Notamacropus eugenii: one gene and its partners. The protein of the gene in region 2 purifies or fractionates together with the protein of the main gene of each other region. This does not show direct contact. Links are inferred from orthologs where the notes say so. Each region holds a gene or a part of one and is shown on either strand. Other genes may lie near its edges. The genes, in order: WASF1, ABI1, EPS8L1 and NHSL3.

Region 1 (7,271 bases), on a different chromosome or scaffold from region 2:
GCCCCTGAACACAATGACTAATTCCTAAGCTTCAATAATAAACAAAGTTAACTAGTCCACCTTTTAACTGAGAGGTCCTCTTTATAGGTTCTCCCTCACCTGCTAGTTTCTGAAAGGCAGGGGAAAGGTCTTGATATTTTCTGTAGGTTCTTCATTGAACTGAAATAAGGCTTCTATGCATACTTTATCCAGCAGTCTCTAAGCATCCTCTTACATTTAAAGGATTTTAAAATATATATGTTCAACACTAGAATAATCAACTTATTAATTACATGAAAAATATTTTTTCTCATTAGAGTTTTAGCTTTCCAACACAAAGTACAGAATAATTAGTCATTCTGAAAATTAAAGTTTAATTGAATTCTTTCATTCTCTATGCTATTTAAGCACTCTTCATTCTTATTCAACCTAAAATCTTTAAAATGCTTTAAAAATAACAATACCATATTTATGCCCTATAACATCCTTGTGAAACAGGTATTAACCCCATTTTGCACAGGAAATTGAAGCACAGAGAAGTCCATATAAATCTCCCGGACATAAAACTCATAATACCATCTCCTAAAGCAAGCTCCCTAACACCACATTCCCTCAGATAATACAACTATTTATCTTGCTATTGCATATCCTCCCTCTATCATAAAACAGTTACTGCATGTATTTCCAGCATCAATTGACCATGCCTATCTATACTCAACTCAGTTTAATCAAAAGTGTTAATAATAAACTTAATCTCTAGGCACACAAAAAAGCTCAAGACAGGCTGCAAATCAAAGACAAAGTACTTAGTTTTGGTGCCTTTTTTTTAAAAGTCAGAAGTAGAATTGATTATCACAATGATTAGGACATCATCAATGATAATGACTGAAATATGTTTCTTGGACTTTGAAAAAGTATTTCATCTTTTAAGGATGGATATTCTTTAAATGTTCATATTTTTAAGGGCATCTTTAACTGTGAACAGATAGAAAAAAATAAGAAAATTCTATCTAATGAAAGAGAACGGTTAGAACCAAAATAAAATTTTAATTAGTATGAAATATTCAATACAGCATTACAATCCTTTCTTAATCCCCCCTTTCTTTCAAAAGATAGAATTCCAAGGAAGGCTGAAATTATTAGGTACTATGAACATTCAATTACTAAAAATCAAGCAGAAGTGCTGACAATGGAAAATACCAAATTGTCCTTTATAGCAATTTGAGAAATGTACATTGTAGGTGTTTTAATCAAACTACGTTGGAAATCACTCCCACAAAAATACATTCGTGTCTTAATTCAAAGACTGCATTCTCGTTAAAGAATCGCTCTTGTTAAACACCATGCTATGAACCATTAGAAACGTAATATACAAGTACGTTTAAGACAATTTGATGTTTTAAAGAAGCAATTATCAGCGCCAATGAAAACTCATACCATCTCACCAAAGGGAGCATTAAAACACAACTCACAACGCAGATCTTAGGAAACCACTGAATTAAGCTCGATCGCATCAAATACAATGAGTTAATAGGAAGGAATACGTGAGTTGGTTAAAGGACAAGTCGAATTGGTTTGGATCGGCATCGTTTTCCAGCCCTGCTCCGTGAGTAAAGCAGCAAGCGCAAGAGTGGTGAGATTCCTGGAGAGAGGGGGCATACTGTACCGAGCAGGGAGAAGGATACAGAACAGGATATAGACAGGAGCACTTAATTCTTTGTAGCTGAATGATTTGCCTAGGTAGAGCAGTAAGAGAGTTTTCCCAAGAAAGGGAGCTTCTCCCCCTCTTAAGCCTTCGCCAGAACCCCATTTACCGATACGAGGTGACGGAGACTACAGTTAGCAACAGCTAGGGCTACACTACAGCCCCAGCCGCCGCTTCTCCTCCTCCTCCTCAAAGGAAGGGGATGAAAGCAACGAGCGAAGCAGCTGGACACAAACCGGCGCGTACACGTACGTACACACACACACAGGCACACGCACACACAGGCACACATATGCTCGCTTTTTAAGGAGACTCACAGTGAAACGAGGAACGAGGGTTAACGCACGACCCCTAAACGGCAGCCTTCGCCAAAGGCTAGGTGTGACAGCCGGAGAGCACGGTCCGAGCAGAAGCAGCGGCCCGGACACCTCAGGTGGGACCCGCGCCCTCCCCACCTCCCTCCAGCCGCCACCGCTGGGCGCTTCCAGCCACCAGCCACCAGACAGGCACAGGCGCCTAAGCCAGCTCGTTCCAGCAGCCAGCTGCGCAGGGGTGGGCGGCGTGGGGGAGAGGAACCCGAACGAATGAGGGAGAGCTACCAGGGATAGGCAGCCGGGTGGGGGGAGGGCGCCACAACACGGAGCCATCCCGTTTTTCCGGGGGCGTAGAAGGATAGGCAACACAAAAACACACACTCACTCACCGTAAAACGGGGAGGGGGAGGCTCTTGTCTTACACCTCCTTCATGCCGGGTGATGCTGCTTCCCACTCCTTCTGCAGCCGATTCCTCCGCAGGCCCTGGGAAGGGGCTCGGGGTGGGGGTGGGGGGTAGCCCCTTGGATTCCTGTTCCAAGCGACCCCTGTTCCAAGTGCCCCGGCCCACCCCCTCCCTTCACTTAACCTGCAACAGCCCTAGCTCCGGCTCTTTCAGGACTAGCCCGGTGCAAAAAGCACGAGCGAACAACACTGCGAGCCTCCACCCTCCCCCCACCCCGCCCCCTAACTAGAGCGCGCGGAGCTCCACAAATGGGAGAGAGAAAGGGGAGCGTGAAATAGGGGGGCTAACAGCGCTCCCTCTCCTTCCCCACTCCAAGTTTCTTTCCCTAACCTCCCACTAGACCGGTTATCCCCCGGTGGGGGCTCGAGTGAAACGACCCTCCATTTCCTCCTCGGGCTCCAGTACCCAGGTGTATGCTTTGAGGATGCTGGAAACCCAGCCCCCAACACACCCCAAATGGCATGAAAACCGTGCTTCCCCACCCCCTTTTCCAGAGACTGCGTGGTATAACCCGATCCTCGGTTTGGGGGAGGGGGCCAGAAAGAACTGAGGATGGGCTAGGGAATAAGGTAAGGCAACAGCCAATTGAATGAAACCAGTCACTGAGGGGCGGTGTCAAAAATTCCTCCAGAAAGACTACATCTCCCATGGTGCTTTGTTCATTAAACGCCGCGTGGGGAATCGGTATTTAGTTCGCTTGTCGGAACTCGTAGTCTTTTAATTAAACCGGTAAGGTCCTGGAAGGTATCAAAAAAACTGAGGTTTCCCTTACCCCTTCCCCTTTTGCCCATTAAGTGATTAAATTCAAGACTCTCGTCTTTTATAAATAGATCAAAGGTTAAATAATCACTGATATAAAACTCCTGGAACTAGTTCAAATTCGGGATTTGAGGAGGTTCCAGGGCGACCAAAGGTTTTTAGGACCTTTCCGATCGCGGCTCTTTCTTCCGCCAAGGCCTGAGCTACCCGGGGAGAGTCGGCGCTGCAGTCATGTCGGCTGCTATCGCTGCCCTGGCAGCTTCCTACGGCTCGGGCTCGGGGTCCGAGTCCGACTCGGACAACGAGACCGGCCGCTGTTCCCTGCCCGCCGCCGACTCCCTCATCCATCTGACGAAGACGCCTTCGGCCAATCTCTCTCTGGTGGGGACCGTGGACGCTGCGCCGGAGGTGGCGGTTAAGGTGAGCAGTTCTCGCCTCTGAGGGGCTAGTTGGGGTGAGGGGTCGGGGAGGGGGGCGGAAATTGTCGGCTCGGCCCGGGGTCCGCTGGGGCGGAGGGTGGGAGGGGCGGCTCCGGGGAACTCGGTAGGGCGAGGGCCGCCTTCCTTTTCGAGTGGGAGCTCGCTGAGGGCAGGGATCGCGCTCTTCGCCTTGGCCGCTGCGCCCGGCACTTAGCCCCGGGCCTAGGTCGGAGGAAGCGCTTTTTCTGGGCTGGTTGGTTGAGCTGCGTGTGCTGATTGACAGTCTGCCTGCTGCTCCGACTGTCGAGAGCGGGGCTGCTGGTCATGGATGCCCGGAGACTTGGTAGCAGTCTTCCAGCGAGGCTCTGGCGATCTGCTCCAGCCCTGCCCCCCCAAGGCGTTTTTCTAAAGCTCAGGTCTCACCTGTCTCTAGGAGCAAAGGCGAACTTCGCTCTTTAAAGCCCTTCGTGTCCTGGCCCCAGCCCCCTTTTACGTAGTTTTTTTGGTGAAGTCTGTTCTCCTTTTCCATCTTCCTACCTCTTTTTCCTCCCCCTCTCTTCCTCCTTACCCGCCCTTTCCCTCCTTCACCTATCTCTCTTCTTCCTCCCCGACTCCCCCCCCCTCCCGCCCTCCCTTGAAACCTGGCAAGATACCTTGGGGTTGACGGGCTAGATTTCCTTTATGGAGCAGGCCTTAAACCTCTGCCTCTCACTGGTTGGCCAACAATGGGACCTCACTGGGTCCTTGTTTGGATTCTGATGGCTGTGAGTGAGTGTAAAAATAGCAGTTGTTTCTGTTTTGTCCAGAAATCCTTAGGGTCTTTCCCTCCCAGGTTGAATTTTTTTTTCTTTTTTATTTGACTAAGTAAAAGAGGTCCTTCTTTGCCTCGTTTTTCACCTAGCCTTAATCACTGAATGGGCTTTGCCTCAGATAAACCTGAGACCTGGGAAAGACCTTAGCTTAAAAAGGCCAAGGTCTCCCACTGCATCAGGGCCTTCTGCAGTCGCGTTGATCTATATCTGGCCACTGGACCCAGATGGTTCTGGAGGAAAGAGTGAGACTGGTGACTTTGCACCTGCCTCACCTAAATCCGATTCACTTGCAAGTCATGACATCTCCTTCCTGATGTCATGGTCCTCTTGGAGAACAAAGGACAAACAACAACCTGTGTGTAGTAGGAACTGCTCCACTGAAGACCCAGTTGGCCAGTTCCATTTGGCAGCTGCCGCTCCCTTTTTTTCCTCCCTTCCTCTCTTTCTCTCTTTTGCCCTCTTTCTCTCTCCCTTTCTCCCTCCCTTCTCTGCCTCCCTCTTCTCCCTTTGTCCACGTAGGAAATCATACCCTTACCTGTGAGTCCTCTGCCCAAAAGAATATAAACTTTAATCTCTGAAACCTAGCAAGATACCTTGGGATTTACGGGCTCGATTCTTTTTTGTGGATCATACCTTAAACCCAAATCACTCTGGCTCTCATTGATTTTCTAACATATCAATATGGGACAATAGGTCCCAGCCCAAGCTTCCTCACTTCGTGGGAGTATATAGCTCAGCCAGATATATGTACATCATGTTTACAAGTCAGGTGTTCATAACTTGAGGCACATTATGCTGTTTTGCCTTGTGTAACACATCTGAATTCTCTGTTTCATTTACAAGGAAATGGGAAAGAGAATAGCTTAATTGTATATTAATATGTATTTTATAACATTTTAGAAAAAGGTTATTAACCCGGAGCATAATTTTAAAAAATATTTTGATAGCTGTTTCAACATAATCTGTTTCCTTTGTAATCATAGGTATTTCATTTTATGTATTTAAAAATCAGTCACTAAACATTGATCAAGCGCCTGCCGTGTGCCAGGCACATTATCCTAAGCAGGATTCCACAGGCTTTGGTGGATTTCCTAAAGGTTAGACGTTCCTATTTTAGACGTAGAATTCTAGAATTTAAAATGATTTTTTGTTTTATTGATAACAAAAGTGAGGCCCAGGGAGTTTATATAGCTTGTAGGTGAAAATGCTGGAACTATATATAATTTAGGTCTCAGCTTCTAGTTAATACCCCTTTTACTATATAAAACACTGCTTCTCTTTCTCCATCATGAAGCAAGGGTTTAAGAGTGTGTGTGTGTGTGTGTGTGTGTGTGTGTGTGTGTGTGTGTGTGTTTAAGTTAGGTGGTAGAGTGGATAAACTAAACCTCAAATATCATTCTAGCTTTATCTTTATGACTCTGTGCAAATCATTTAGCCTTTCTCAGTTTCCTCATCTGTAAATGGTAGTTGGGAGAATAAAATGAGATGGTATTTACAAAGCACTTTGTGCACCTTAAACTGCTGTTTAAATAAACTACTATTAGCAAATGTTAATCTCAGAATGATGTTTTTAAATGCATAAAACATGTAGCATTACAAAAGAAACGAATTATATTGAAGTAAAGGTGTATTTTTTTTTCCCCATTCAAGTTCATGGACCCCCTGAAGTCTGTCTATGGATCTCAGGTTAAGAATCCCTGTCATGTCTGTATAGAGTTGGCAAGTAGTAGTGTTCAGAAACTACTTTTAAAAAGTATGGTTAGGAATAAGATCAGGGGTGAAGCAAGGATGTCCATTATCACCACTATTATTCAACATGGTACTAGAAATATTAGCTGTAGCAATAAGAAAAGAAAAAGAAATTGAAGGAATTAGAATAGGCAAAGAAGAAACTCTCTTTGCAGATGATATGATGATATACTTAGAGAATCCCAGAGAATCAAGTAAAAAACTACTTGAAATAATAAACAACTTTGGCAGAGTTGCAGGTTACAAAATAAACCCACATAAATCTTCTGCATTTCTATATGTTACTAACAAAGCCCAACAGCAAGAGATAGAAAGAGAAATCTCATTTAAAGCTAGGGTAGACACTATAAAATGTTTGGGAGTCTACCTGCCAAAACAAACCCAGGGACTATATGAATACAATTACAAAACACTTTTTGCACAAATAAAGGCAGATCTAAATAAGTGGAAAAACATCAGTTGCTCGTGGGTAGGCCGAGCCAATGTCATAAAATGACAATTCTACCTAAATTAATTTACTTATTCAGAGCCATACCAATCAAACTGTCAGATAATTATTTTCTAGAGCTATAAAAAATAATATCAGAATTCATCTAGAAGAACAAAAGATCCAGAATATCAAGGGAACTAATGAAAAGAAATCCTAGAGAAGGTGGCCTAGTCCTACCAGATCTCAAATTGTATTATAAAGCAACAATTATCAAAACCACTTGGTACTGGCTAAGAAACAGAGGAGTAGACCAGTGCAATAGGTTAGGTACTCAAGACACAGTAGCCAATGAATATAGCAATCTACTGTTTGATAAATCCAAGGACTTCAGCTTCTGGGATAAGAACTCACTGTTTGACAAAAATTGCTAGGAAAACTGGATAACAATATGGTGGAAACTGGGCATAGACCAATGCCTGACACCATACACAAGAGTAAAGTCCAAATGGGTACATGATCTAGGTATAAAGATGGATACTATAAACAAATTAGTGGAGCAGGGAATAGTGTATTTATCAGATTTATGGAGAATGGAAAATTTTTTGACTAAATGAGATAGAAAACATTATGAAATGCAAAA
Region 2 (7,951 bases):
AAGTACCATGGGTCACAGAAATGTCATAAAAAAGGCTTAAAAAAAGTCTTCTCCAACCTTTAGGATAAATGCATGAAAGAACATGAATAAGAATCTCAAGCAGCCATAGCAATGACAAGAACAGCAGTGGTGATACCTTCCACCAATACCACATTCACTTTCTACCTACTTTGGAGGGCAAGGCACCTGGCACAAGCAAAGCTTGAAAGGTAAAGGACTATATATTCTGACAATCATTGTTATATGTACCTGTCATTATTTCAAAAATATTTTCCTATCTTTTTTAGTTTGAGGGTAAAATGTGTGTGTGTGTGTGTGTGTGTGTGTGTGTGTGTGTGTCTGTGTATTCAACTGATAAAATGAAAAAAGTTTTGAGAGTCACTAACAGGATTCTTAGCATTCTGGTTTTACTAGGGAGAGTAAGTAACATGAGGCAATTTATGTTAATAGAAGAGATTCCTGGTAGAGTTTAAACCGCTTCCAAGTTTTGCAATAGAAAAACAAAAAACAACTACACTGACAAAGAAAAAAATTGGACAGGTTAAAACATGTTACCACACCAAGTACCTGTTGTATTTCCCAACATATAAAATCAAATGGAACCTCCCTGTTTTGAAGGATCTATCAACAGCCGTTGAAAGTAGGCTTTTAGAAGATTCCGATAAGGTATTTTACGTTTTGACTTGTAAGATCCTTCCAATTTTCACCTGAATTTTCAAAGCTTGACTTTGGAACTTCAGTTCAGTATGTGCCTTTCATTTTGGTGAACTACAAAATTATTTCTTGGTCTGCAAAACTAACTTTTTTAAAAATCTATATTATCAGTGGATAAGAATAAGAGTCAATCATTTTTTTCTACAGTTATGGTATTAGCACAATGCTTAGCAGGTAGTTGAAGTGAACATGAAAATTAAGAAAGATTCTAAATATTCACAAAAGCAACCATTCATTTTCTTTACTTTTAAGGAGAAATAAAGTGGAGGAAATGCAAGCATTGGCAAGATAGCTACAAAAAAAGAGCTATTTCCAAAAATTGTCTCTATGCCTCCTTATTATTGAAGTAACCAGAACTTTCAAAAGCCCTTATCTGCCATGACTATCCAATATTAAGTGCCCATTACAGTTTGTCCATTATTTCCACACCCTAAACATTTACAGCTGAGTTGTGAGAAAGGCATTTCCATCTAAACTCAATTCAGGAAATAAAAATTCTCTAGACATTCTCAAGGTTTCATGATTTTATATTACACGACTTTTACATCATTAGAAAGGCTATACCAAATGTCTTAGTACAGTTCTGACTTTTGGGGCACCCTGCAAGTGTGGTATACGTATGAATATATGTAGGAATATCGGTATGTGGGTAGATAGATATATTTGTGTATATTTCCACATACATACATTTGAATGCAAATATGTTTATGTGTGTGTAGTTTTCTGCCTTGGAAACAATTTTTAATCATCCTAACCATCTATCTCAATTAGAAGTAAAAGAAAACTGTGGTCAGAAAACTGGGAACCCAACAGAAAGAAGAGGTTCTAAGTTATAGATAAATGCGGGAGTTTTAAGAACTTTTTTTAAATTTTTGACGGATAAGGGAGAAGGGCGGTCACTCAAGGCAGCTCTCCAGTAGTTAAAAATAATTCAAGACGAATAATTCTACCCGATCGCTCTAATCACCCTCCCGCACGAGAAGCCAAAGCCCAAGAGCGGAAGTGAAACTGTGGATGGGGGGTGGGGGGACCGGTCTGGAAACCCGCGAGTCCGCGGCCAAGCCCGGGGGTCAGGGGGTCCATTCACTTTCTTCCTCTCCAGAGCCCTCCCCCAAAGGGCCCTTCTCCCCAGCGAGGTGACTCAGGACAAATAAATAAAATAGAATACAAGGCACACCCTCTGGGGCTAGCTGACATAATCCACCCCCCTCCCTCCCCCCGCGCTTACCCCACCCTCTCTCCCCGACAGTCACACTCACACACACTCCAGAACACACATATACCTACAAGCACACACGTAACAGTCACACAAACATGAGTGCACATACATAATCTCACCCATGGTCACACATACATGGAGTCGCGCTCACATATACATACACACAATCATACACCCAAACACTCCAAATCACTCAGATACATACAATCACACACTTACAAGCACACACGTATATACTTACAATCACACACACACAAGCACATACACATATATACCCACAACCACAAACACACAATAACACACACACATACAAGCACATACACATATATACTCAATCACACACACACAGACGCTCCCCGCCCGCCCCCCGCCCGGCTCTTGGCCGCGCTGCCTCAGTTTCCCCGCTCCGTAGCCGGCTCCCTCCGGCCGAGGCTCATCGGGCGCGGGTGGCGGTGGTCGCCGCGGCCCCAGCGGCCGCAGCGGGAGCCCGGGCGCGCCAGGGGTGTCAGCGGGGCAGCCCGGCCGGCGGGCGGGCGCAGGGCGAGGCGGCGGCAGCGGGTCCCCTCCGGGCGCTCGCCCATTTTCTCGCTCTCCCCCTTCTCTTCCCACCCCAGCCCACTTCCTGTGGCGGAGCCCCGGCCGGGGGCGGCGGGCGGGCGGCGGTGCCTCTCCCCGGGGCGGGGGCCCGGCCCCGGGCGGGGGCCGCTCCTGACCCTCCCCTCCCCCCGCCTCACCTGTATGTAGTTGTTCTCACAGTAGTCCGCCACCCGGGTCAGGTTCTGGTAACTCTCGATCAGCGCCCTCTTGCCGGACGGGATCTCTTCCTCTAGCAGCATCTGCAGCTCTGCCATTTTCCACTCCTCCGCATCGCTTCCTCTCACGTCCAAGAGACAGCGAGCGGCGGCAGCGGCGCGGTGAAGTCCGGGAGTCCAAGCCTCTGAGCCCGGATACAAGCCGCCTACCCGCCCTCCCGCCTGGTATTGTGGGACATCACCTCCTCCTCTTCCTCCTCCTCACCCCCACCCGCTGCGGTCTCGTTCTCGCGATGCGCGAGCTTTCAGCTCCCCTTCCCCCCGCAACCCCCGCAGCTTCTGAACAGAGAGATTGGGTTTTCCCCTTTTGCATTGCCCTCTGGGAGTTGTAGTCTTCTCTCCCCACCACCCCACCCCGGGGGACTTTCCCGGGATGGCAACTGCGCAAGCGCGCGAGCTACCGGCGGGAGAGAGGGAAGGGAAGTGTGGAAGTAGCATGGTGGCATTATGTGCCGAGCCAGCCGAGAGGTCTGCCCTCCTGCCTGCCAGCAGGTGGCACCTGAGAGGGAGAGAGCCTGGCTTACTAGTAACCACCAGGTGTTTGTCAGCTACTGGAAAAATCCGAGCCGGGAGACGGGGATGGGTGTGCCTTGACCTTAACCGTGCCCTTCCTGTGGCCTCGGTGAAAGGTGGCCCGCCCTGCCCCCCAGGCCTCCCACACCGGCCGCGCCCGCCTCCCCTTCCGCACGTTGCCTCCGGACATCCCCCCGTGCCTGGCACGCAGTGGGCGCTTCATAAATGCACACCCCCTCCTCCCTCCCTCAGCCGGCACGGGTCCCTTCCTCCGTCCTGGATCGGGGCGCGGGCCACGTGCTGGCTGCCCCAAATGCAATGGCATCAAACTCATCTGAGACTAGTCGGAACTCCCGTTTAATTCCGGCCCCCGGAATGCCGGGGATGGCCAAGTCCACAAGCCTCCGTTAGGCACCCACCCGTGCCCGCGCGACGTCGCTCGAATCGGGGAAGTGGCTAATTGGCCTGCACCTCCTGAGCTCCACGCGGGGTGGGGGGGGCGGTACCCTAAACTATTCAGGCTTCTCCCGGGGGAGCCTTCTCCATTCCCCTTTGTCGCAAGGGTCGCACTGCTCCCTGCGTTTGAGAGAAATCTTCTCATTTTTAACTGGTATTAGTGATAGCTAGCTTGAAAGCTGGCAAAAAATACCATTTTTGGTAAATGGTAAAAAATACCATTTTTTTATCCTTATGACAAGCCTGAGGGGCATTATTCCTGTTGGGTGAGGCAGCAGAGAGAGCTTAAGTGACTTGCCCAAGGTCACACGGCTAGTAAGTGTCAAGTGTCTGAGGTGCCATTTGAACTCAGGTCCTCCTGACTCCTGCACTGGTGCTCTATCCACTGCACCACCTAGCTGCCCCGATTTCACTAGTATAGCCCTTGTGAAGAAACTCCTTCTGTCAGTGCTAGTTGACATCTTCTGAGAGTTGCCTGAATAGAACTGTATAGCAACAAAAAAAAAAAAGTATTTAAATATAATGTTGAATTTCAACAACATAATTTTTTTTACAACAGCAATTAAGAAAAATTTTGCGTTTGTCTACAGGGCTTTACCATTTTCACTTATATCTCTTTTAATCTGCATAGCAGCTCTCTAAAGTATGCATAACAGGCTTTATAATCCCTATTTTCGAAATGAAGAAACTGAGACTCGGAGAAATGAGTCAGTCAATTAGAAGCTAAGTGATTTATCCAAGTCAGCACATTAAAAGGCAAAAACAAAAATAGAACCCAGTTTTCAGATTCTTAATGCACTCCTTCCACTGTTCAATGCTACCTACACTTGCAATATGTAAAAAATATGATGTACTACAGTATGCAATCTGTAATTATGGTGACATTATTTTCCAAACTCCAAATCAGCAGCCAACAAAATAATTTTTAATATGACTTATATTGCAACAGAATAGAAGATTTCAAATCAGAATCAGAACTAAAATAGTAAGGTAGATAATCATCAGGCCTTTACTGATTCTACTTTAAGAGATACACTTTGAATGAATTTTTTATTAATAGTCCCTCCTGGGGGAAAGGGGGAGGAGTTTAAAGCCTGAAGCTGTGGAGCATAGTTTTTCTATATTTCAAATTTAAAAGCTTATATGCTGTAAAACTCATAATTGTAGAACCATATTCTAACAAACTGAGCTAACTATATGCCAGAATCTTTAAAACATATGGCAATAATAATAAATAACTAGCCTTGTTATAGCACTTAAAGGGATGAAGAGCACTTAACATTTTTATCTCATTTCGTCCTCACGATAAACTCAAGAGGTAGGTGCTCTTATTAGCCCCCTCTTATAAATGAGGAAACAGAGGCAGACAGAAGTTAAATGACTAGTCCAGGGTCACTTAGCCAGTAAGCACCTGAGACTCTGCAATAGCACATACATGTTATTAGTAAAGCATAATATCATAGAATCTTTAGAACTGGAAGAGACGTTAGCAGTTCTCTAGTCTAGCCTTTTACTCAATTCAAGAGTCCCTTTCTTGGCATTCCTGACAGAGGATCATATTCCAATATCTCTTGAACACTTTTTGATAAAGTCCATCAGTCCTCTGCTTAAACATTTGTGGGGCATGTGGCATACAGAAAGTAGCATATAAATGTTAGCTATAATTATTCGTTATTATTATTTACAGTGCGAGGGAGCTCACTACTTTACAAGGAACCCTATTCCGTTTCTAATTGCTAGGAACTTCTTACTCCTATTGTGCTAAAATCTGCTTCTCTTATAATTTCAACCATCTGGCCTAGTTCCACCCTTATAACTGTTGCAGATTTTGCCTTCCATTTAATAGCCCTGTAATGTATTCTGTATACATATATCCTTATGCATGTATATGTATGTATTCTCTTCAACAAGCTAAAAATTCACAGTTCCTTCCACTATTTCTTATCTGGCATGGTTTTCAGCTCTTAGTCATGTTCCTCCAGGCATAATTGAATCCAGTTCTCTAAATGTGGCCTTACTACGGAAGAATACAGCAGGACTGTCACCCTTCTTTTCTCTGAACACCCCCTTAGGTACTTCAAAGGCTCTGTTATCTCATTTCTGTGGATATTTTCTCCATGGATACAGATCCCAGGTCATCCGCATCTTCTTGTCCAATGTGATTATTATTCAGGTTTGTCCTTCATTCTTGGAGATGAACATGACATCAGGAAGATGATGCCATGACTTGCAGGTAAATTAGATTTAAGTGAGGAAGGACTGTGCAAAGTCACCAGCCTTTCTCCTCCTGAGTCACATTCTCCTCTGGGTCCAGTTGTAAGATTTGGATCAGAATGACTGGAGATGGCCCTCAATTATTGTTCATGTCTTTCAGTGAATGTATTCAGAATCTACCCAAAGTACTGAATGCCTTTTCTAGTAATTTTAATCTTTTGGGCCTACCTGTAGAACACAGGAGCTGTTTTAACAAGTCTAATTTTCTGACAGATATCAGAACTGTCTAAGTATGACCTGCCTTAAAAATGAAATGGGACTCCTTGTGAAGTCATCCCTTGCACTTGCTGTGTGACTGGCACACTTCCTTTTCTAATCGTATGTATGCTTCACAATGTCTTTTTTTTTTAATTTGCTTTGATATCTTTGGTTTTTATATCACCATCATTTCTCAAATATCCCTCCTTCCTACACCACTGAAAAACCTTTCCTTGTTAGTAGCTTTCTAGTTAGTAGTTTCTGACTCTTCATGACCCAATTTGGAATTTTCTTGGCAAAGATACTATAGTTCTTTGTCATTTCCTTTTCGAGCTCATTCTACAGATGAGAAAATGGAGGCAAACAGGGTTAAGTTACTTGCCCAGTATCACACAACCAGTAAATGTCTGAGACCAAACTTGAACTCAGGAAGATGAATCTTTCTGAGTCCAGGCCCAGCTCTTTATGCACTTTGCCAGCTAGCTGCCCCATCCCTCATAACCATCCCTCATAACAAAGATGAGGAAAAAAGGGGGGAAGCAGTTTGGCAAAACTACAAAGAAGGAAGGAAGGCATAATATCTTGGCATAACATCTCTTCATTCCCAAGCATAGGCATTATACTGATGCAGCATTCCATTTCTGGGTGAAGAGGGAGGGGGAGGGGGAGCAGAGGGTACTGTCCTTTACAATTATGTCGTCATCCTGTGCATTGTTTTCCTGGTACTGCTGACTTCACTCTGCCTCAATAAGTCTCCCAGGGTTTGTCATATTCATCATTTCTTATGGTACCTGTAATATTCCATAATGTTGATGTTCCACAGTTTGGTTAGTCATTCCCCAATCAATGAGCATCCTCTATGTTTCCAGTTATTTACTGCTATAAAGAGCAATGCTAGAAATATTTTTGTGTATATTGGACCTCACGTTTATTGATTTATTAACTTGATCTCCTTGGAAAATATACCTATCAGTGCGATCTCTAGGGCAAAAAGTTATGGAAACTTTATTCTCCCTCTGTCTCTCTGTCTCTTTCTCTGTCTCTCTCTGTCCTTCTGTCTGTCTGTCTGTCTGTCTCTCTCTCTCTCTTTTTCTCTGTCTCTGTCTCTGGCCCAATCCCAAATTGCTTTCCAGAATGGTTGGACCAATTACAACTCAACCAATGGCGTATTAGTATTCTTGTCTTTCCACAAACCCTCCAGTACTGGCTATTTCCAATTCCCCCCCTTTTTTTAGTTTCTTTTATCAGTGTGCTGGGTGTAAAATGAAACCTCAGTTTTTAAAAAATTTACATTTCTCTTATTATTACTGATTTGGAGCACTCTTTCATATTGTTAATGGTTTGCAGTTCTTTTGGGAACTGTTTATATCATTTGAGAACTTAATATAATCTTTTACATTTTTTGCATATAACTGTCATTGGTCATATATGTTTCAGGCTTCTTACACTATCCATAGTTTCTCCACTTCCCTTTGAGTTATCTGCAATTTTGATTATTTTGCAATCCTGATGCTTCATAATTTGCAGCCTTATAGCATTACCAGGAGAATACTGATGATAAAACAGTGGACCTTTTGTGTCAGGAAGCAACTTGGACTCATTGAAAGCAGGCAGTTTCTAAAATGCAATACATCTCATTTTCTTACCCTGTTTAATTCACGGAATTTGTATCCCCAGCCACTAACACAGTGTCTGGCACATAGTAGGCACATATCCAAGGCAGGGGTTGTTTAGCCTGAAGAAGAGAAAATTTAAAGGATGGGAG
Region 3 (7,629 bases), on a different chromosome or scaffold from region 2:
TTCACACCTCTGGGTGGCTCCTGTTTCCCTGGTCAGACTGGTTTCCTGTGGGCAGGGCCATGTCTCCTGTCTCTGACTGGGGGCTCCCCAAGAAAGAGGCCCACACGGGATGGGGGCACTGTGAGGGAAGGAAGGCTGCTTCTTCCCCTTTCCCTTCAATGCCCCCCCTTCCCAGGCTTTCACCTTCCTTCTCCTCGGGGATGGCTTCCTTGGCCAGTGGTCCCAGCAGGTGTTCCCGGGGAGCGATGACCACACGAGTTGAAGGCCGACGTCGGAAGGGGGTGTCTGCAGGCCCAGGGCTGGGGGTGCGGTTCAGCTCCTCCTGGGTGGCCCTGAGGAGCAGGGTGAACACAGGGGCTGGATCCTCCAGCTCAGACTCACTTTCCTCTCCCACCATATCCTGCTCCCCATCCACCTTAGGGCGGCTGCACGCCGGTCTCCACTGCCTGATCGCTGGGCTTGTAGGGCCCCATGAATGTCCTCTCGGATCAGCTCTGCCTGCCAAGGGGAGACAATTTGGGAGATGTGACTCCCCCTGCCCTGAGTCCTTTCCTCAGAGGACCTGTCCTCTCTAAAGCCACAATGAAGGAGCTCACCAGAGACTGGAGGATAGAGAGGGCCTGGGGGAGGAGGCTGGGGCCCTAGTTTGGGCTCTCCTTTCTGCCCCTCTTTCCCCTCAGTCTCCCTTACTGGCTCCCTCACTTTATCCCGGCTCCATGCCTGCCTCCCTTTCTCCTCCTGCCTTTCTCTGTCCCGTCCGTCTTTGGGTTGGTCATCCTCAGCTTCTACTAGTACTCCCACCAAGACCCTGTGGGCTCCTGCCAGTCAGGGGGCCCTCCTCTGGGGCACCTCCCCCCAGCATCCTCATGGCCTCCCCTTCCCTTCCTCTTCCTTGCTGGTCCCCCCCCCCCCCCAGCCTCTTATTGTCCAGCAGCTCTGGGAGCAGTCCTTTCCTGCATCATATGGGCCAGCGGGAGCCTGGGCCCAGCACCTCCTTACCCCAACTCGGAGGCCCTGGAAGTAGTGGACATCGGGCTGGGGCCGGTCAGGCTCCTGACACACCAGGAGGAGGAGGGCTTGTGTCTGGCCTGGGGGGAACACGGCCTCACATCGGAGAATGGAGTCCAGGGCGTAAGACTCCAGCTGTTCCTGTGGGGGGAAAGGGGACACAGGCAGGGCTGCCCACCCACCCAGGACCCCCATGGAGGGGGCATCTCTTAGGGGGTGCCAGTCTGTTTCATTGCATTTCTTCTCCCCACTTCTGTCCCCTCTGATACCAAAAGTGCTTTGAGATCCTCCATGAACTTCTCTATGGGGAGAAAGTCAGGGCCAGAGAGCGGCAGGGTGGAGTGGACTCAGTGGAATTGGGACCCAGAACCAACACTGAATCCCTCCTTCCTCTCCTGACCTTGGAGTCCACGTCCAGAAGCTTCACGTTTCCCGAGGACACTTGTAGCAGCATCTCCTGGGTCCAGATCCGGCCCTGGGCATCCATAGCAGACAGTTTCCTTGAAGCGTCCTCCACCGTGTGGACCCCGTCCTCTTCCCCCAAGCAGAAGGTCACCAGGTGCTGGGGGAAAGGGAGGCAGGTGAGGCCCAGACACTGACTCTTGACTCATTCCGGTCCCTCAGACCCACGAGACTCACGTTGACTGCGTACTGGGATACGTCTGCCATGATCACGGTGGAGTATTTCTTCCTTTGCTCTGGGGCCAGAAAGAGGGAAACTGAGGAAAAGATAATTCACCTCTCCTCCCACTAAGCTCCAATTCCCCTTCTTAGAATCCTTCCTTCACTGCCAATGAGGAGGCTCCTTGGCCTGGAAGGGACCTTAGGACCACTGACTTGCAGCTGAGGCAGTGACTATGGAGGCTGTCTATTCTGCCCCCTCCCCATTTTACAGACAAGGAAACTGAGGCCCACAGAGGAGAGGGTATCCATCCACCTCCAAAGGGGCAGGGCTGAGATTTGAACCCAGGCCTTCCATTCAATCTCCTTCACTACCTTCAGGAACCCTCCCCTCGGCCTGGTATGTGTGTGTGTTTGGGGGGTGGGCTAGGTTCTGGACAGTTTTTTAACTGGCCAAGGCCAAGCACCGGGCCCCTGGCCCACAACCCAGCAGGGACCCAAGAATCCTGAGATCCCTAGCCCAGCCTCCATCCCAACCTGGGCTGTCAGTTGGGGTCTTCTCCCAGCACTCCCAGGGACATCAGTCCCTCACTCACCATAGATGGACTTGGCACTGGGCTTGGGGGCTGCAGTGGGCCTGAGGAGGAGGGTCAGAGGGTCACCGAGTGAAACCTCTCAGGTCCCCTCTTCCCCTGGCCCAGAGTCCCAACGCTGAGTGGCAGAAGTGGAAGAAGGGAGGGGATATGGAGGGGGGAGAGGAAGAAGGGAGGATGGAGGGTCAGGAGGCTCCCAGCCTTGGGGGAGACCGGGGCTCTAGAAGACACTCACCCTGCTGGGCTGGTCATCATGCTGCCAACTCAGAAGTGGGGGCTTCCAGCCTGGGGAGAGGAGAGGCCTGAGGTGGGAGACACGGGGACCTAAGTAGCCCCAAGGAATCTGGGATTTGGGAGCTCTTTGGTCGACCCTGGGGCTTTGAAATGCCTGGGTGTCTATGCACCTGGGGTCCAAGACACTGAGGTCCTTCAGGGGGTGGGAGCTGAGGAATGCCTGGGTCTGGGGACTGAACGCCAGCTTCCTGAAGAGTTGGCCACGGAGCAGGATGCTGGGGTCTCTGTCTTGGGGCTTACCCGGACGATGTCCTGTCCTGGCAGATGTTTGGGAGACAGAGCCTCCCGGGTCACAGCAGGCTTAGGCCCTGGTCCCAGAGGGAGAGAGAACCCAGGTGCCCCACCTCCCCCCACATACCTAAGCCTTCACTTGGTGGGGTGTGGTCCTGGGAGGCGGAGCTGAAATGTTCAGCCAGTGCTAGCTGAAGTTCAGGGACCAGGGTCCTTAAGGGAGGTGGAGACCAGGGGATCAGGATGCCTGGGTCGTTGGAAGGAAAAGACCAAGTGGTTCAGGTGCCCGGGAACAGTGGAAGGGAGGGCACTCCAGGGGCCCTGAGCCTGTGGTTGGCTTTGGGTGTGACCGAAACTGAGCCCTCTCTCCCTCCCTCCCTCAGTCCCTGCTTCCTCCTCCTCCCTTGCTCTCCTCCCTCCTTACACGCCCAGGTACACCTAAGACGGAAAAACCTAGGTCTGGGAGAGAGACCAGATCTCTGAGCCGCTAATACCGCCTATACCACCTCCGACTCCGGGGCTTCGACTGGAGGATGCTTGGAGATCATTAAATCTCACCTGCTCCCTCCTTCTGATGAACCCCACCCCTCACAGGGCTGGGTGAGAAGATTAGTTTGTGAGCCTTCAAGTGCTGAGGAAATGGGAGTCAGGATTATTTTACAGAGGGGGAACTGAGGTTCAGAGAGGAGCAGGTACTTCTGAGGTTGCTTCTCCCTCAAATCAAGAAACTTGAACACTGCTAGGTCTGCCCCTTCCATGCTGTGGGTCCTTGGGTAAATCTCCCTGCTCAAGAACTCAGTCAACATGGGGTAGGGGCCTTCGATGTGTGGGCCTGACCTGGGTTCCCACATACCTTCAAGGGGCTGCCATCCTCCAGGAGGGCAGAAAAGCATAAGGGACAATATTCATGAAGGAACAGAATATTAGGTGAGTTCAAGCAGTCGAGTGCCCCGGGGAGGGGGCACAGGGATGGGTAGGAGGTGACCTGAGCCTAAGATGAAGAAGTGTGGAGGGATGGCATTCCAAGTAGGGGTCACAGCCCAGGCAAAGGCCCAGAGGTGGCCAATAGCATGTACTTGGGAAACAGCTAGTGGGCCAGGTTGGCTGAAAATAATGCAAAGCCAAAGTGAGAAGCAGAGATTTTGTGTTCAAGGCTCTGTAAAGCAAGTGTTTATGAGGTGCTCACTACTACGTGCCAGGCACTGCGCTAAGCACGGGGAGTCTACAGCTTGCTCCGCCCCCTCCAGACTCCCCAGTTTCTCTCCTTTTGTTGAAGCCCAAAGCCCTGCTCTGACCAGGTAACTCCACTGCTCAAGCACTCTCTGTGGCTCCCTCGTTGCTCCTGGTCCTCTGGCGGGGTTGCCCCACCTCGGTTCTTCGACTCAGGGGCCCTCTCCCCCTCAAGCTCCCACGGCACATGCATTTGCTTCTCTGGGTCTGAGAGGCGCCCAGGCTGGAGCAGGTGTCAGATGCAGGACCCCCCCCTCCACACACACACACATAACAAAGACAGCTGCCCCAAGTGGGAGGGGCTGCCTCAGCTGGAAGGTCTTTGGAGGGAGGGGCAGCCCAGGCTGAGCTTGGTGCTGGAGACCCCTCCCTTCTCCAGCCCAGTGGGAGCCTGGGTCCCCTGGTTAGCCTGAGCCCGGGAATGGGGGCAGGGGAAGGCTGGAAGCTGGGTGGAGATAAGAGGAACCGGCCTGGCCAGCTGGGGAGAGGCTGTGAGCAGGGAATGCCAAAGTTGGCCCTGTTTGTTCACAGGGAGGGGAGGCCCAGGGTGGCAGCCAGTTTGGCCGGTACGTGGACAAAGGGCGGAAGGGCAGGGGCTGGGGACTGAGGCAGTCAAGGTGGAGGATATGGCTCAAGTTCCTCTCCTGCTGGCCCCCTCCCCCACACACCCTCTATCCTCCCACTCCCAGTCTTCTTAAGTCAGCTGGTGGATCATGTCTGGAGGCAGGAAGGCCTGAGTTCAAATCCAGCCTTAGACACTTCCTAAAATGAGAATACTAACCCATCCCAGGGCTGCCATGAGGATCCAATGAGATAAACTGTAAAATAGCTCAGTGCCTGGCACACAGTAGGCGCTGCCGTTATCTTCTCTCCCCAGTGCCTGGTACACAGTAGGTGCTGCCATTATCATCTCTCCCCAGTGCCTGGCACACAGCATCTTGCCCAGTGCCTTTACTTTACAAATAAGGAAACAGGGGCCCAGAGAGGGAAGTCATTGCCAGTGAAGATCCACACCCAGGGTTTGCATGCTCAGTTCCACTCCATCTGACTCCAGAGGGGTACTTTGGAGGGCATCCTCCTTGGAGTTCTCACAATAAGCCTCAGTTTCCCCCACCATGAGGTGAGGGTATGTGAGGCAGTGTCTGAAGGGGCCTTTCCAGCTGAGTCTCCCAAGTCCTAACCAGAAATGTGCCATTAAGCCTCTCCTCTCTGGACCTCAATTTCCCATTTTGTAAAATGAAGTTGGACCTGGGGGCCTTGGGCTGCCCCAGGGCCTGACCCTCTGGGCAGGTGCCCTGAACACCAGGCCAGACAGCTGTCCTATTCTTTGCCCTCATAGTACTATCAACTCTTGGTGGGCTTGTGGTCCATTGTGCCCAACAGATCTTTTTCAGACAGCCGCCATTGACCTATCCCTCTCCCGCACTCCCCTTCTGGCCATGGTTAAAGCCTCAGCTTAGGGTGTTTTCTTTCCCCTCTTCTCTGCCCACCTGACTTTCCCAAGGTCTTCTAGCTCCAGACTTGGGATCCCTGAGCTCAGGGGATCCAGGTCATGGTTTCAATGTGTGGAGATCCTTTTGGCTCCTGATTTATAGCAAGCATGTCTGCCTGTCATCCTGCCCAGGTCTGTTCCATCTGCCCATCTGATAAGTGGGGTGTCCCTGCGACTGTCAGAACATGGGCCAAGGGAGGGCCTCCTACAGATGAGAGCTGTTTGGGGGTTGGGGGGGTTTGGGCTGAAGCTGAAAGAGCCTGGGCAAAGAGGGCTGGCTGGGGGAGGGGGCAGAAGTCCAGTGGGAGGGGCTGGCTAGGGGAAGGATCTTATTTATGGGCCAGAGAGGGCCTGACTGGCTGCTTTCTGGAGGATGTAAGCTCCTTTCATTTGACAGACAAGGACCCCAAGGCCCAGAGAAGGGAAGACAAGTGGAAGTGGGAGGGGGCAATCCAGATCCCCAGCCCTCTCCCCAAGGCACCCTGCTTGCCCACACAGGAGAGAAAGGCCAACTCTGGAAACTCATCGCCCAAGATGCCTCCAAAGGTGCCATCTGACCTCGGCGACAAGTCACTGCACATGGAGGGTTGGGGCATGTGGTGGGGAGGGGCTGGGCCACAGCACTGTTGATTCAGGCATATTTGAGGGAGGAAATGCCTAGGAGAGTGGGCTGAATGTGCTATAGACTGCTGGGCCAGGAGGAAATCCCGGCAGATCCCCAAGCTGGCCAACAGGCCCTGCATGGACCAACAGGCAAGATGGTGGAAGTGTCCTGGCCTCCCGGTGCCCACCTCCAGGACTGAGGAGCTGAGTCTAATGACCTAATGGGCTGAGTTTCGTTTAGGCCAATGGTGGCTGCCTAACTTCCAGGGTCATCCCCTCTCAATCCATCCTTAAATAAACAGCCAACCCCCCCTCACCTGGCCTCTGCCTTATGTCTGGGGAACAAACATGACCACTGGCCAGAGGGGTGCATTTCTCCAGGCTTCCACTGCATGCTTTGGTTTCCCATCTTCCTAGTCCAAGGCTTTTTCAAAGTCTAGACCAAGGGGCCTTAATCTGGAGGTCCACAGATGGATTTCAGGGAGTCATTGATCTTGGGGGGAAAAACCTGGATATTTATTTTCACTAACTCTTAACTGAAATCAAGCATTTCCTTCCATGATGAATTAGAAATCCTTCACGCAGGGGCTCCCCTGGCCCCGTCAGCCCATAGGGTCCAAGCTGGAGGGGGTACAGAGGTCTCCTCTTCTAAGCGACATTAAATGAGAACAGAAACTCAGAAGGCTTGGGGGCACCTAAGTCAGGATTTGTGAACTTGTCTAAGCAATGTATGGCTATCTGTACTCTGGTAGGATGATTCCTTTGTGTGTCAAGCCCTCATGATTCTGATGAGGGGTCCCTGGCCTTCACCTTTAGACTGATTGCCTGAGGGGTTGAGCCTTTGGAGAGCACAGCTGATCCAATTCCTGCTGTTCAGATGAGGAAGGGGACAGGGTAGTCTGGGCCCAGCCAAACCTGGGCCTGCAGAGTGTCAGAGGCAGGAGGAATCTCAGGGGACTCCCTGAGAGGTGTGGAACAGGCCAGGTGTCCTGAGGGGAGTCATGAGCTCCACGTGTTAAGTGATTTTCATAGATGATCCTGCCTTCAGAGTCTCAGCCTCATCCAGCCCCACGAGCTGAGTGCTGTGCGCCCAAAGCTTCTGAGCAGCCTCCTCATCCTGGGCCTGGGGAGCTGGGTCCCGCTCATGGAAGGCATTAAAATACTTGCCCGAGACCCCACTCAGCTCCGGAGCCACAGCCAGGTAGACACTAGGTTGGGCTGCCAACTTGGGCGTCTTTATCAGCAACCAGAAGAAGGGGCCTGGGGTCAGGACACAGAGGGATAGATACAGAGTCAGAGAGGCATCGAATGATGTGCCTAGTCTGGTAGGTGGGGAAACTGAAGCTCTGATAGGGGAAGACACTTGATTAAGCCCCACCCCCCATAAGGGGCTAAGCAAGCTGATGATCCAGATGGGCTTCCCCAGTCAGGTCTGGGAGAGTTCCGGTGCCTCCTCCAAACTGCTGAGGAAGAGGGACTTACCAAGGACTGTGCTGGAAAAGACGGACTTGTGCAAGCCTGTGTGTCTGCCCAGCTCAGTGCTGGCTACCCCGGGGT
Region 4 (6,892 bases), on a different chromosome or scaffold from region 2:
AAGGAAACAGAGGCTGATGAAGTTGGATGTGATTTCCTCTTGGAGATGAACTGAATGACCTTCTTCTAACTCTAAATCTTGTGATGGTACCTGCATCTTTGGTCATCCCTTAAGACCCCACTTAATTCCCTCCTCCTTCAAAAGCATCCTCAGCTCCAACCGGGTTTATTTCTTTGTCCTCCCCTCCCCGCATCATACTAGGCTCCTTCCCACTTCTGTGCCTTTATTTAGGCTTCTCCTCTTACCTAGAATGCCCTCTCCTGGTTTTCCCAAAGGATAATGGAACTTAGAGCTCAAAGGACTTTGGGGACCATGTATTCCAAACCCCTTTCTTAGCAGATGAGGAAATTGATGTTCCAAGTAAGAAAAAATTGCCAGGGGTAAGTCTGGTGGTGAGCACTGAAAGCAGCTTTCCAACATCTTGCTCCAAATCCACCCTCTTTGCAGTGGTACATGCATGCTGTTCTATGAGAAATGAAGACCTACAATTCCCTCAATGCCCACTTCAGATTCATTGCTATGAAGCCTTCCTTCATTAACGTTTCTGAATTCCTTCTCACACATGTCTAGCTAAGGTCTGGAGAGTAGAAAGAAGGTCCACTTATTCATATCATCTTAATATGTTGTCTAGAAATGTGATCTCTCCAACCCTATCTGTCTTGTGTCTTCAACTAACCTGTCAGTAACTTGAAGATAAAGACTATGTTTTCTTCTCTGATACCCTCCAGCCACCTCCAGGGAAAACACAAAAGTTCATCAGCACTAAGATCTCTAAACACTTATCCCATCCAGGTTAGTAAGATTATAAACAAACACAAGGAAGGAGAGTCATTTCTCCAAGCTGTATTTCCCTTCCCTGCCTGAATGCAGAAGGAGAGGAAAAGAGAAGGATAGGGAATTGACTTGATTTCTCAATTAGGAGGGTGAATAGGATATAGTAGGGATGTTGGGCAGAAGTGACCAGAATCCCAGGATCCTCTTCCCCCAGGCTTCCCTGGATAAAGGCTTTCCCTCGGGGAAATGTTAGTTTTTACCTTAGAAACCATCTAGTTCAATGCCCTCTTCATTTTACAGATGCCAAAACTGAGGCTCAGAAAGGAAAAGGGACTTGCCCAGGATCACAAATCAGATCACAAACCTCTAGGAGGTACCTATTCTCTCTCCAAGGAAAGTACAGAAAACTACATATCCTGTACCCAGACTGGAACAAACAACCTTGTGTAAGTTCCTTTCCAGTTGTAGGCCTCAGTTTCCATATCTGTAAGCAGAAGGGGTTAGGGATGTGATAGTTTCAAAGAGCCTTTCAACTTCAGAGAGTCTGAATTTAGATAGTTTATGAATCCAAAGGACATGGGGAAATGGGCAACAGTTTCCCCTGCTCCCTGACCCACAATTCTCCCCATAGGGTTCTCTGCACAGGAAATAGCCCAGATTTCCACCTGACCAGGCAGCTCCCCAGTGGGAGGGGATGTGAGCAGAGGGTGAGGCTGTACCTCCTCCCCCTATCTATCTCTCTGATATCCTCTCCCCCCCCACCACACACACACACACACACACACACACATATCAATCCCAGTTCATGTTACAGTTCTCCCAGCACTGAGGGAACTGGAGGGGGAAGCCAGGAATCCTGTTGCCCAGCCTCAGAGGACCCTCCCCCACCCCTGGGGCTGAAATACAACCTTTCAGGCAGATCCCAGCACAGACTGGGGCCCAGGCTGTTCCAGCTGGGTGACTGAATTGAAAAGGGGGGGATAGATGAGGGAGGGGCCTAGACCCTTGGCAGTGGGGGGGAGGGTGCCCCAGAGAACCAGTCAGATGGCTGATGTGGTCAGATGGAGCCAGCCCTGGGCCTCCAGCCTTCAGTTTCTGTCTCCAGCTCCCTCCTTTTGTCTCTCCCTTCCTCCAGTCAACCTTCTGCCCTCTGGGGTCTGCAGGGTGGGACAGAAGAACAAATGTGAGTGTATATCAGCTACTGTGTAAAACAGTGAAAGGCTGTGTCTGTATACAACACGGCATCTGTATATGACAATGTGAGTCTGTGTGACTATTAGCTGTGCTGATAGGTGTAATTGTGAGTACATGTAAGTGTGAACCCATGCTCTGCACACAGCGGGTAATTAACGTTTGCTGAAGAGAACTGTATGCCTAGGTAAATATGAGTCTGCACCCACATCTGCAAATCTATGTGGGCAGCTGTATAACCATAGCAGGAGTGACTGTGGACATCTGTGTAATAACTACGTCCGTTCATACATATTCATGTACAAGCATGCATATACATATATACATCTATACGCCATGTGTAACTATGTACCCATACATGTGAACATATATACAAATCTTCCACAACTATGTGCCCAGCTGGAAATAGACCCAATTCCACAAGACATAAAAATAAGTGCGTCCTGGGTCCTGTAGGTGTAACTCATGGTGTGGCTGAGTGTGATTTATAACTATGTGTCGTTGTGCACACATGCATGGGAACGTGTATCCCTGTCCTGTTTCTGTAACTGTAGCCATGTGTGGACGGATATTCCTGGAGCATTAAGGCACACTGTGTAACTATGTGTCCATATGCACACTCCTGCGCAAGCATGTATCACTGCCTTGTTTGGCTAACTTTCTCAAAGGCTATGTGCTGAGGATGTACCATACAGGCGCGTTCATATGTGCCCTTTGCGTGCAGCCGTGTGCATGCGGGAGGCTCCATGTGTGAGCATGCAGCTGGGTCCCCGTGTACACAGCCGGGGGTAGGGTGGGGGACCCCAAGTCCCCGGACGCGCGGCCCCCACCATCCCCCCGGGCTCGGGCCGCGCGGGGCAGCCCCGGCCCCTTCCCATCCCCCTCCCCTCAGCGCCCCCGCCCCTGCCTACCTGTTCCCTGCCTCCCCCGGCGGCGCCCAAAATGCCAGAAGCTGCGGGTCCGGCTGCTGGGGGGCTTCCTCTTATGGTGGGAGTTCCCCATGGCGCGCAGGGTCCCTGGGGGGCGGGGGCGGGGACAGGGATGGGAGTGGGCGGGGGAGGGGGCGCGCGCTACATGGCGTGGGGCTGGCGCGCGCTCAGGCCCCCGCGCGCTCCGGCAGCTCCGGCCGCCACCGTCCCTGCAGCCAATGGGCACGCCCGGGAGGGGCGGGGCCTCGGAGGGGAGGCGAGGGGCGGGGCGAGCTCCCGTATGCGGGCTCTCCCCCGCCCCCACTGGGACGCCTACCTCTGGCCCTCCCAAAGCTAGGCAAGCCTGGAGGCTCCTGGGAAGAGGAGGCGGCCGACGGCCCCTGCCAGGCAGAGCCCAGGAATTAGCACCCTCCTACCGGGTTGGGAAAATGAGACATAGACAGGATGCAGATCCTTGGTTTTCTCATTTGCAAAATGGGGATAACGTGCACTCCTTTCTTCACAGGAATTCAGAGTCAGATCTAGTGCTGAAAGCCACCTTACAAGTAGTAAGTGGAACAAGTTGGGATTTGAACTCAAGTCCTCTGACTTTAAATCTCAGCCTTCCTTCCACTGCACCATGGTTTTAATGAAGAAGGCACCATAGAAGCCATAAGTGATACAAAAATGGAAACTAAAACTTGTTTTATTATTACTACCTGATAACTGGAGCAAGTCAGTTCCTCTGTACAGGCTCAGTTTTCCCATATATAAGTGAGAGTGTCAAGTTATATAATCTCTAAGGCCTCTTATCAGCTCTAACATTCTCTGTTTCTATGATCAGCAAACAAGTCTGACCACATTTTACAGAGAGAAATACTGAGAGACCTGGAAAGATGCAGTACTATCATGCCTAAAGTCTAGTGGTGTTATGGAAAAGAGCTGGGATTCAACCATGGGTCTTCTGACTAAGACTAACATTCTTTCCATTTACTATGTTAATTTGACTGACTTCAAGGAGCCAGGTTCTCTACCCACAGACTGTCTCCAGATTCACCTACCTTCAAAGCTTCTCTCAGCACCCTCCCCTGACTCCCCAATAGATCTGGAGTCAGAAATCCAAGGTTCTAATAATTACTACTCTTGACTTTGGGCAAGTTCCTTCCCCTCTATGGGCCTCAGTTTCCCCATCTGTAAAATGGCAGATGGGCTAAATGATCTCAAAGATTCTTTCCAGTTCTAAATTCCTGTGATCCTATGGCACCTCAATGAAGGCCCTAGAAGGAAGTAATGCCTCAGTTTCCATATGTGAACAGGGAGCTAGAGAGCTAGGAAATGGAGTGGGGAGGAAGAAAGTGTCAACAGCTCAGAGGAAAAATATACTCGTCAATCTATCTCAAGAAAAAAGGACTGTTAATTGATTAAAAATTAATTTAAAAAATAAAAAATTTTTACAATTAAAAAAAATAAAAGACAACTGGTCTAAGATGCTTGTAGATCCCTGTGGAAAGAATCACCTAACCTTAAATACCATCTAGTCAGGGTGGGAACCTAGAAGATAAGAAAACGCCAGGGAAAAGGAGGCCCACAGTGTTGCCTAAAGACCTTTACTCCATTAGAGTATAAGTTCTTGAGGACAGGAACTATCTTCTGCCTCTTTTGTATCCCCAGCAAAAGGCACTTCATTAATAAATACTCATTGACCCCATTTGAGACAAACCCACCATATGAAAACTCCAATGACATAGACACTTTTCTCCTCTCCAGTTTCAATCCTCATCCTTCACTTTTCCTGTGTCTGTTGGTGTGTCAGGGTGAGCTTGAAGAAATTCCCTAAAGAGAAAAACTTGACAGGGGCAGAGGCTTGATCCCTTCCTCCAGCCCCAGGATGGGACTGGGCACAAAGGAGGCACTCAGCACAAATCCACTGATTGACAAACAGCTCATTTTTCAGTCTTTCCATTGACAAAAATAAATCTAACACACAAAAAAAGGGGAAACCAAAGGACTGTACCAGGGTGGAACAGGCTGCCACAGGGATCAGTCATTACAGCATGCAGAGCTGACCGGAAGAGACCTTAGAGCTCACCTAGCCCAACGCCTACATTTTATAGATAAGAAAGCTGAATCCTTGCCCAAGGTCACCCAAGGAACAGGACAGAAGACTGGAACCCAGGTCCTCAGCACTCTCATCCTTGTACTGAACTGAATGAGCATGAGCAGAGACTGGGTGACTGAGGACACTATGGAAGGGATGGTGGGAATTCCGGGAGGTTTTGGATTAGATGACCTCTGAGGTCGGGATTCAAAAACTTTTCAGGAGCTGTTCTATAAAGTGGGATCCCTCTGTGTCTTCACAGAGTGAGACAATTTGTCCAGGGATAAACTAGGATTCTCATCCTTCTGTGATCAGAGAGCTTGGGCATCCACTGAAGCCAAGATACTATGCGGGTGATGGCAGCATTTCCAACCTCCACACCCCACCCCCAAGGGGTACAATGCTCTTTCGCATGGGGTTTACTCAGCATGTGATCAAAGCAGCTGAGATGGCTTTGTGCTGGGATGGGGGGCCCTCTAGGGAGGCTCTCTTCTCTAGGCCCAGGTATGTACACGAAGTCTGATACAGCCTGGGTAACCCCTCTCACCCCCACTCCCATAAGGCACTGGTTTAGCCAGTGGTTGCCATTATTCCAGGCCCAAGGAACAGGGAAGAATGGGGGGGCCCAAAGCCACAGACTCCAACCTTCATTTGTCTGCCATGATCGGCTGGTTCCATGTCTGTCACCATCCTTTACCCCCATCAGACAAGTACAGCCCCAGTCCCTGGCCCCTGTTCTACTCCTCCCTAACTGCAGCATCTTCTCTGGAAAGGATAATGAATTCACCTCTTTGGGTGTGAAGTCTTCTCCCTTTAGAAAGTAATCTCCTTGAAGGCAGGAGCTGTCTCTTTTTGCTTTTATTTGTACCTTAACACAGTGTCTGCCATATAAGTACGGCATAAATGCTCATTTTCTTGATGAGATTTTTCTAGTAACAGAGAAACTAGAAATGTCCAAGTCTGGCACTTTTCCCATACATCCCCGCAACTTCCAGAACAGTGATTGTTCTCTCCCCATCATCTCCTCCCCTTCCCCTACTGTACCTATTCTAGGGCAGGTTATCCAATACCCGCCCCCCACATTCTGGAGTTACCTCCCACTACTAACCATAATTGTCTTCTCCCCCATGTTCCAGAGCCCTTCCTTCAGATCCCAGATCCCAGTTTCAAATCCTAATCCCCAATGTTCTAGAGCAGACTTATAGAATGTTAGAGCTAGAAGAAATCTTTAGGAAAGATCTGGTCCAACCCCTTCATTTTCAGTTAGACAAAATGAGGCACAGATAGGTGGTGAATTGGCCCCAAGGCCACATAGCTAATTAGGTGTCAAAACCCAAAAAAGAATACAGGCCTACATGATCCTAAGGAATCTTTCCATTATACTTCACATCTCCCCTTATGTGAACAATAATCACCCCCTTCCTCATTTTTCAGACCTGTGATTTCATTTTAACCTTACTTCATTTCAGGGCAACAACTGCCCACCAGGATCTCTCCAGCTGGACTAACCTTCTCACCTCATCCCCCAAGCCCTCCACAAACATGTAGCGCCCACTCATGAACAAACACAAATGTATACACATCTGGCTCAGGATTCCTTCCAGCTCTTTTGGGGAGCCACCTCACCCAGTTCTGATCTCATAGCACTTTACACTCTTCTCTTGTCTTTTTCAAGTGCTAATTTATATTCAGTTCATCTGTGTCTCTGAGATCTCCCGTCCCCAGCTAGACTAAGTGCTCCTTGAGGACAAGAGTTAAGCCTTTGTCTTCTTAGTTTCCCCCATAATGCTAAAGGGTCTGGCACACAGCAAGGGCTTAAATGGTTGAATGGGCATGGGCAAAGAGCTTCAAAAGCCCTTCCTGAGCAAACATATTTCTCTGTGTTCCTTACACAATATCCTCCCTGTTTCCCTTCCCCCAC

What was found.
Region 1: the proteins of ABI1 (region 2) and WASF1 purify together in Homo sapiens (affinity purification with mass spectrometry; 6 studies listed by BioGRID and IntAct, with this or other methods). This does not show direct contact. The link is inferred for Notamacropus eugenii from reciprocal best matches to the Homo sapiens genes ABI1 and WASF1.
Region 3: the proteins of ABI1 (region 2) and EPS8L1 purify together in Homo sapiens (co-immunoprecipitation; 4 studies listed by BioGRID and IntAct, with this or other methods). This does not show direct contact. The link is inferred for Notamacropus eugenii from reciprocal best matches to the Homo sapiens genes ABI1 and EPS8L1.
Region 4: the proteins of ABI1 (region 2) and NHSL3 purify together in Homo sapiens (affinity purification with mass spectrometry; 3 studies listed by BioGRID and IntAct, with this or other methods). This does not show direct contact. The link is inferred for Notamacropus eugenii from reciprocal best matches to the Homo sapiens genes ABI1 and NHSL3.

The regions. Positions count from the first base shown.
Region 1 is NC_092873.1:190,083,062-190,090,332, forward strand, and holds the start of WASF1 (actin-binding protein WASF1), read right to left. Parts: upstream 3,003-7,271; 5' UTR 2,388-3,002; intron 1-2,387. Other genes in the region: CDC40 (pre-mRNA-processing factor 17), read left to right, coding at 3,453-3,641.
Region 2 is NC_092874.1:67,587,225-67,595,175, forward strand, and holds the start of ABI1 (abl interactor 1), read right to left. Parts: upstream 3,001-7,951; 5' UTR 2,785-3,000; coding exon 2,668-2,784; intron 1,911-2,667; exon of another isoform or gene 1-1,910. UniProt on the Homo sapiens protein: May act in negative regulation of cell growth and transformation by interacting with nonreceptor tyrosine kinases ABL1 and/or ABL2. May play a role in regulation of EGF-induced Erk pathway activation. Involved in cytoskeletal reorganization and EGFR signaling.
Region 3 is NC_092876.1:17,749,428-17,757,056, reverse strand, and holds the start of EPS8L1 (epidermal growth factor receptor kinase substrate 8-like protein 1), read right to left. Parts: upstream 3,013-7,629; 5' UTR 2,875-3,012; exon of another isoform or gene 2,508-2,874; 5' UTR 2,478-2,507; coding exon 2,458-2,477; exon of another isoform or gene 2,267-2,457; coding exon 2,226-2,266; exon of another isoform or gene 1,707-2,225; coding exon 1,648-1,706; exon of another isoform or gene 1,571-1,647; coding exon 1,409-1,570; exon of another isoform or gene 1,150-1,408; coding exon 1,000-1,149; exon of another isoform or gene 917-999; intron 499-916; coding exon 416-498; intron 333-415; coding exon 184-332; intron 1-183. Other genes in the region: RDH13 (retinol dehydrogenase 13), read right to left, coding at 7,088-7,332, 7,555-7,629. UniProt on the Homo sapiens protein: Stimulates guanine exchange activity of SOS1. May play a role in membrane ruffling and remodeling of the actin cytoskeleton.
Region 4 is NC_092876.1:77,118,179-77,125,070, forward strand, and holds the start of NHSL3 (NHS-like protein 3), read right to left. Parts: upstream 3,016-6,892; 5' UTR 2,968-3,015; coding exon 2,877-2,967; intron 1,932-2,876; coding exon 1,683-1,931; intron 1-1,682. UniProt on the Homo sapiens protein: Able to directly activate the TNF-NFkappaB signaling pathway.